Sus scrofa: one gene and its partner. The protein of the gene in region 1 purifies or fractionates together with the protein of each later gene. This does not show direct contact. Links are inferred from orthologs where the notes say so. Each region holds a gene or a part of one and is shown in the gene's direction. Other genes may lie near its edges. The genes, in order: KIF22 and KPNA3.

What was found.
Region 2: the proteins of KIF22 (region 1) and KPNA3 purify together in Homo sapiens (affinity purification with mass spectrometry; 3 studies listed by BioGRID and IntAct, counting the BioPlex papers as one, with this or other methods). This does not show direct contact. The link is inferred for Sus scrofa from reciprocal best matches to the Homo sapiens genes KIF22 and KPNA3.

The regions. Positions count from the first base shown.
Region 1 is NC_010445.4:18,036,572-18,040,381, forward strand, and holds part of KIF22 (kinesin-like protein KIF22), read left to right. Parts: intron 1-2,178; coding exon 2,179-2,347; intron 2,348-2,859; coding exon 2,860-3,028; intron 3,029-3,798; coding exon 3,799-3,810. UniProt on the Homo sapiens protein: Kinesin family member that is involved in spindle formation and the movements of chromosomes during mitosis and meiosis. Binds to microtubules and to DNA. Plays a role in congression of laterally attached chromosomes in NDC80-depleted cells.
Region 2 is NC_010453.5:17,946,977-17,951,265, forward strand, and holds the start of KPNA3 (importin subunit alpha-3), read left to right. Parts: upstream 1-1,233; 5' UTR 1,234-1,263; coding exon 1,264-1,332; intron 1,333-1,644; exon of another isoform or gene 1,645-1,670; coding exon of another isoform or gene 1,671-1,826; intron 1,827-4,289. UniProt on the Homo sapiens protein: Functions in nuclear protein import as an adapter protein for nuclear receptor KPNB1. Binds specifically and directly to substrates containing either a simple or bipartite NLS motif.

The DNA.
Region 1 (3,810 bases):
TTATGTAGATTCCCCTTATGTCTGGATTGGGTGTGCAGTAGCAGTGGGTTTAGCCTGTAAGATCCTTGAGCTGTGAACTTGGGCTTCCACCGGATTCACCCCAAATCCTACTTTATTGAATTCACTGAAGTGCTAAGATCTCCAGCCTTGATGCTGCTGCCAGAGGCCCTAAGGAGGCCTCCAGGCACTCCTCCCCCCACCTCCCCCCCACCATCCTGCTTTCCATTTTCCAACTCCTTTAGGCAGTCAACAAAAATCTCATATTTTGCCACCAGTATTCCAAGGATGAGCACTTTTGCTTCTGGCTCAAGGAGTAAATGAGGATCAGGTCTTTCAGGTCCCAAGGATGAAGAGAAATGTCTCGCTGAGATTCAGTCTGTGTGTTAAGAGTCCAGCCTTTCTGTGACCTTCCATGGGTTTAGTTGCCGTCCTAACTTTTCCCTGCTTCCACCCTCAATCCAATCAAAACATCTATTTTCTTTTTTCTTTTTTAATGGCTGCACCCGTGGCATATTGAAGTTCCCCAGGCCAGGGATTGAATCCTAGCTGCAGCTTCTACCTACGCTCTTGTGGCGACACTGGATCCTTTAACCCACTGCACCTGGCCAGGGATCGAACCTGCACCTTCACAGTGACCCCAGCCACTGCAGTAGGATTCTTAACCCACTGCACCATAGTGGGAACTCCCCAAACAAAGCCTCTAAATTAAGTCATTTCTGTGTGTGGCCTCCCCAGTTCTGACAGCCCCACCTCATGGCCCAGCAGCCACTAATATTCAGGCCCCCCCATGTTTAGTGGTCTTGCTTTCTATGTCTGGCCACTTGGCCCTCCCTAACTCCAAAGAACGAGTTGCAGTTTGAACTCTGCCATCTTTCTACTCCTAGCCCACATAGAGCCTCTCTAAATTGTATAAGTTTGAAGACTACTGAACAGAGGTGACCTGAGGAGGCCAAGGATTAGTGCTTATGCTGCCTCGGGGGCTATAGTAGTTAAGGATGGCATACACAAAAAGATGCCTGGTGGAGTTCCCCTTGTGGTGCAGCAGTTAAGAAACCCGACTAGTATCCATGAGGACTTGGGTTCTATCCTTGGTCTCACTCAATGTGTTAAGGATCCAGCATTGCCATGAGCTGTGGTGTAGGTTGCAGATGTGGCTCAGATCCCGTGTTGCTGTGGCTGTGAGCGTAGGCTGGCAGGTGCAGCTCTGATTGTACCCCTACCCTGGGAACCTCCATATACTCCATGGGTGCAGCCCTAAAAAAGCCAAAAAAAAAAAAAAAAAAAGGTGCCTAGGTTCTTGTGTTCACTGACAACCTTAGCTTGTGATCTTGTCTTTCTCATGCCATTTATTGGCAGTCCCCTCTCCCATGTATCCAAATTCGGAGAAGCACACACACCCACGCATCTATGTTACCTGTGAACAGGCAAGGTCTCTGCCAGAAAGGCTCAGAGATGGGGCACATCAGACCTGGACAACCCCTGACGCCGGGGCTCACGGTTTAGCCGAGGAAGCAAGCTGGGAATCAGTATGTGATGCAAGGTTGACAGCAGACAGTAAGGAAGGTGGACCCTCCTGTTCTGTGAGATCCAGCAAGGAAGAAAGACCTTCATCTACATTTTCTGATCCTGCTCCTCTTGGCACTTGCTCACAAAGAACAGAGCAGTCTCTGTCCTGGAGGAGCTAGTTCACAGTGTAGGAAAGAAGATACACAGTCAAGCTGGGCATCAGGGGAAAGGTGGCTGACGTTGATAATCGAGGTCAGATGTGAGGGGGATTCCAGACAGAAGGACCGGATGTGAGGCATTACCATGCTCGGATTAAGGCAGGCCACTGTTTGAAGAGGGCTTTCCTGCTGCCCACAGGAGGGAGGCTTGGCATTTGAGATCTTCAGGGGCTTTGAAAGCCCTGTTGAAGATGACCTCCTCGGTGAAGCTTTCACCGATTCCTCCTCCACATGCACAGGCGCACGGCCCTTGCTGACACCTAATCAATCACAGTCAGACAGTGAGCGCCACTGCACCCAGAGAGTCTGGATGACTTGTTCAGGCTTGCCCAGCAAGTTAACACTAGGGTTCTGGAACCATAGCGTATACCATGTTAAGGCATGATGAGGAGAATCCTGCTGCTACAGAGGGCAGTAAAGAGAGGAGGGTGAGGAGTCAACTTTGTCTGCTCAGCCCCCTGCAGAAGCTGAGTAGCATGGACCCAGCTATGCTGGAGCGCCTCCTGAGCTTGGACCGTCTGCTGGGCTCCCAGGGGAGCCAGGGGACCCCTCTGCTGAGCACCCCGAAGCGAGAGCGGATGGTGCTCATGAAGACAGTGGAGGAGAAGGACTTGGAAATTGAGGTAAGTGTTGGGGGTTGGGGCTGGGACTCCTCCTGGCCTTGAGAAGCAATCTGAGGATCTTCAGGTAGGGAAGGACACTGAAAAGCTGGACCAGCACCCTGTTTTTACCCAACACTGGAATCCTTTCGTTCTTGAATGTCCTTCGCATGGCTGAACTTTGAAAAATAATTGAGATCAGATGTGAGGAGACGAGAGGGCAAAAAATTCCAGGTAAAAGAAACAGATGCAAGACACTGCCATTCCCTAAAACTCAGTTCACATTAAGTTAGGACTCTGCTTGAACAATCCTTCAGTATTTCCCAAAGAGGCTGATTCCACCGCTAGGCAGCCTTGATCATTAGAAAGCTCTTAATTACATCAGGCTCCACTGTCTCCTGGTAGTTTCTCCCAATGGTCCTCACCCAGCCCCTTTAGGGCCTCAGAGCCCTGCACACTCGCATCCCTAATCCGCTGCCCTTCAAACTGCCCCAAAGTTGGTTCTGGGTCCTATCTCTCCCAATCCTTTCTAACAGAGGCTTAAGATGAAGCAAAAAGAACTGGAAGCCAAGGTGCTGGCCCAGGAGGCTGCAGACCCAAAGGAAAAAGAGAATTACTCTCCTACCACGCTCAGACCTCTTGCCCGCCGCACAGTCACAGTGGCGAAGCCCCTCAAAAGAGCTGTGGTGATGCCCTTACAACTGAGTAAGTTTGGCTCTGGGGGCCAGGAAGACCCAGATAATTGAAGGGAGTTATTGTTTGGGGCAGCTGACCTCATGTCACTCATGTCCTCACACAATACACCAACCCCAGGGAAAGGAAGAGGGATCTGAAGTAGATCTGGGTGCTCTGCCCTCCAGCATTTAGTACAGTGGGGTAGACTGACAAATGCGTGATTGATTATTCTGCAAGACCAACGGAGGTTACTTTCTCCCTTTTTTGCTTTTTAGGGCCACACCCACAGCATACAGAAGTTCTCAGGCTAGGAGTCAAATCGGAGCTGCAGCTGCTAGCCTACACCACAGCCACAGCAACAGGGGATTCAAGCCACGTCTGCGAACTACACCACAGCTCAGGGCAATGCCGGATCCTTAACCCACTGAGTAGGACCAGGGATGGAACCCAAATCCTCATAGATACTAGCCAGATTCATTAGTGCTGAGCCACAACAGGAACTCCTGAGGTTACTTTCAAATATAAGAATGGGATGGTCATGCAGAGAAGTTCTATTGTGGCGCAGCAGGTTAGGGATACAGCATTGTCAGTGCAGCAGCTTGGGTTCCTCCTGTGGCGTGGGTTTAATCCCTGGCCCAGGAACCTCCACATGCCATGTGTGGCAAAAAAAACAACCCAACAAAAGAGAGTTAACTGGGGTTGAGGTGACTTGGGGAATCAGAAATCGAAGAACCAAATGGCTACCAGGGGGCCAAAAAGTAGCCTCGGCCGTGACTCCAGTTCACAATTCTTGCTTTCAGTTCAGGAGCAGG
Region 2 (4,289 bases), on another chromosome or scaffold:
TTCAAAGAAGCTCACTTGCCCAAAAAGCAACTATTAGTGTTATATATCCACATTTCTCCTGATCATTCTTACGATGACCCTAAAGGAAGATGCTAGACTGGAAGAGTCTGCAGACCAAGGCTTGACTACTTCCTGAGGGCCGAGAAGATTATGTGCAGAGGTGGAACAGAAATATCGAGAGTACAGAAATGCAGGACCTGCCAGAGTGAAGGTTGCAGAACCGAGCTTGGGAGAATGATGAAGACAGATGCCGGAGCACTAATCTATTCAAGCATTTATTGAGTATTCATGACATGCCAGGCACTGTATTAACGGAGGGATTCAGCAGTATACCTAACGTCCCTACCTAACTGAGCTAATTCCGATACGGTAAACCAGATCGACACACACACATATCACATACATACATATATACATGTCAGGTGGAAATAAATGCTAATTATAAAACTAAAGCAGAGCAAAGGAACAGCGAATGAGGGTGGCTGCTATTTCAGGAGACCCCCGTGCCACCCTCCCCCCCCCCCGCCCCCGCAAAGAAGCAAGAGAGCAAAGCACCAGCCGTGCATCGGTTTCTAATTTTCTAGGCTACACGGAGCTAGGTGCACCTCCCAGGAAGCTCCGCCCCCTCCCTCCCAATAGGACGCAAGGTGCCGTCTCCGAGGAAGCTCCTCCCACTCCCCGCCCAGAGGCGGCCTTGGGGGCGGAGCCTCGCGCCCGGGCTCCCTGAGCGCGCCGCGCATAAAGACGCGCGCTTAGGGTTCCCGGCATTCTTCTGATTCTGTCAAAGCCGGGAGAGTTACCCTCGCTAGGGAATGGCATGCTGGGAACTGTAGTTTCCTCCCGCAACCCCGCGTCCCGGGGGCAGTAAAAGCTGCTAAGTTCGGCTCCATTGCTGGCACCATACTTGAAGCCCGGCGGGGTTGTGGGGAGGATTTGCGGAGGGGCTGGGGCCGGGGTCATCCCGAGTACCACGTGGAACTTATCCAGCCCGGCGAGCGTCCAGGCCGGAGCCCGCCCCGGACACGTGACCCCGGCCTCCACAAGAGCGCGCCGTTCCAGAGCACGGTTCCCGCCCCGCCCGTCTGTCGGCCTGCGCCTCCCCCGGCGCTGCTGCCACCTCGCGCTCGGAGGCGTCACGGAACGTGCCCGCCTTTCCCCCTCCTCCTCCCTTTCCCTCCCGCTCTCCCCCTCCTCCCCCTCCCGCGCCGAGACTCGCCGCCGCCGCAGCCGCAGGAGTAGCCGCCGCCGGAGCCGCGCGCAGCCATGGCCGAGAACCCCGGCTTGGAGAACCACCGCATCAAGAGCTTTAAGAATAAGGGCCGAGATGTGGAAGTGAGTGTGCTTTCGCTGCTGGGGCCCTCCAGGCTCGCCCGCCTGGCCGCGCCGGCCCCGAGGCGGCGGGGAGGGGCGGGGGGCCGGCGCCGGGCTGGTTTTCGCCGGCTCGCGGTGGGTCGGAGTTAGCTACCGTCTCCCGTCACCGCGGCCAGGGGCTGGGCGGAGCGGGCGGCGGGACGCGGGCCGGGCTGCAGCCGCCTCTCGAAGCTGCCGGCGCGGAGTCCGGGAAACGCCGGGGTTTTCGGCCCCGTCACGCGGGCGCGGCCTGCTGTCGGCGAGGAAGAGATGTGGAGCTGAGGCGGGGTCCGCGGGCTGGGGCCTCGCGGGCTGGGGGGATGCTGCCGCCCGGGTCCATCGACCGCCCCGCCGAGGGGGCGGCCACGGCTCGCGCCCGCTGCCCGTGCAGCCTCCTGCCCGGCGCGGCCCCCTCAGTGCCTCCCGCGCTGCTGCACATGGAGCCTCGGCTCTGCCGGTCCCCGCGCCTACCTTCTGTGAGCCGGGCCCAGGCGGGCGGTGGCGGCCCGCAGAGGGGGGTGGGGACCAGCCGGGTAACTGACTTGTTTGAGGGTGGTGAATGGGGGAGGGTAGGATGCGCTAGGACCATTTTCTTATATTCCAGTGCGGTTCTTTGGACCAGTCGCGCTTTGCTTTTCCAGCTCATACTCCTGTTACTGCTGGCATTTGGAGCAAGCTGAAGGTGGACAATAGTTTACCGTCTATTGTGTTGAGGCTTTGGAAGAGACGTTGTTCCGACCTCCGCTCACAGGACCTCTTTTCTTAGCCTTTTCTTGTAGTGAGGGTGTGCATAGGGTAATCATGTCTTTGAAACGTTTTACTGAAATAAATTGGATACATAGGTTCATACGGCCTTGCGCTAAGCTGGTAGAATTTCCAAGTGGTTGCAAAACTGTAAACATTGATCGTGTTCACTCAGTTCGTTGCTACTCAGCATGTTGCCATTGTCTCATTAAGGTGACATTAGCAGGTACTGTTTGCAAACTCGGCTTGTCCAGGCAGCGCTAGAGGTCTCTCTGCAGCTTCTAAAAGCAGTGTAGTTAGTGTAATGCACAAACTTCACTGGGACTCTGACCTCTGGATTGTTGGGGGAAAGTGGTTTCAGGTCCACAGCCTTCTTTTCTTTTACTAGGTGACATGATTTGCAGTTTTCTCATTCTTGCTAAGCGGCCAGTGTGACGAAGAAGTGCGCATTTTATCCTGTCTTAAAGAGAGAAGGTGGTGGGGAAAATATACCGTTCAGTGTTCTGTTTTGTAGAAGAACAGACAAAACTGAGGCCGTTTTTCGGAGCCACAAAATTAAATAGTAATTGGAGAAAAACGTAGGGAAATGCCTTGGAATTTTCATATTATTGAGACAGATAAAAGTCATCTTTTTTCTGTCCTGGTCATTGTTCAATTTTACAGTGAGAAATACTTGTAAGCAAAAGTGCAACTTAAGAATAGCAGTAAGAAATTTGGAACTGCTTCTTGTTATTGGTCCTCTTGATGATAGGTAATTTTGAACCGTAATCATCAGTCATTTTTCTTGAAGCTTACCTCTGTCATAAAGCAAAACTTAATGTAGTTTGAAAAATACTTGTATTGTTTGTACAGAAGAACTAATTAACATTCTTCCCCCCCCCCTTTTTTTTTTGCCTCTATTGTGTTTGGGGATCTCAGTGATACCTAGTAAGGACTCCTTTGCATAATATGCACACAGTGTATCTCTGCTAAAGGTCAGAATGTGATCAGTGACTTCTAGATGCATAAAAAAGATATGAAGCCTGAAAATAGCGGTCACATTACAATTCTTAGAATACATGAGGGAGAATAACTAAGGCATGAAATAGCAGACATTCAAATGGTAGTTCCATGTGGCAGCCACTATACTAAGAGCTTCATGATACCTCTTTTAAGCCTTATGACAACTTTATGAGCTAGGTGTAGCATTATCACCACTTTACAGGAGGAAAATACTTTAGATGAGGAAACACAAAAGTGCTTATACAGTCTGCACAAGGTCATGAAGTGGGTATGAGCATTCATTCATTGGTCTACTGGGTATCGAACAGTGTTTGGTTTGTAACTCAGGGATTTTTACTTTTATAGTTCAGTAGGAATGATAGGAAAGTAAACTGATGATTACAGTGCAGGACATCAATAAGTGTATTCTGAGACTGCATGAGAAGATTTTGACTTGGAGCTGAATGGTCAGGGGAGAGTTCTGGTTGATTCCTGGTGGATGACTGGGAGGGAGCTGATCCTGAAGGATGAAAGAAAGATGGCCAAGGAAGGGGCATTCCAGAATGAGGGAGCAGTAATTGAAGAGTCCTGAGAGACTGTAGGACTGCTGAGAGAGATGGATACTGGAGATGTGATTAAAGGGTCAAATCCGATCAAGCGCCTTTTTTGTGAAATTTGGTATAACTGAGATTAGACCCCCCATATAGTCTTATCCATTAGGAACTGTATTACACTAGAAACTTACATTGCACCTTAGCTCTGTGACTAAGTAGTAGTGATTATTAGGCTATTCAAAAAGTGAGATGTACTTTGATGAGCTTTCATTTCTACCTTTTCATACATGGGATAGATAAAAGGTAAAACATATTATGAGTGATATAGCTGGACGATACATAAATAAGATGCTAGGTACAAAAATAAAATAAATATTTTTAAAGAAAATAACAGTGTGGCGTTAAGCCAGGGAATTGTGAGTAGGGAGAGGGCTGAGGAAGAAAGTAGTTTCATAGTCATTCAGTTGGGAAAAGCTTCGTGGAAGAAAGGTTGGTGAATTTTAAGGGAAGTATGTACTAAACTTGAACAGGGCATATGAGATATTGGTGAATAAAGAACCAAGTGAGGAGTTCCCACTGTGAAATCCAGCTGCAGCGGCTCTGGTTGCTGCGGAGGCATGGGTTTGTTCCCAGGCCAGTGCAGTGGGTTAAGGGCTCCAG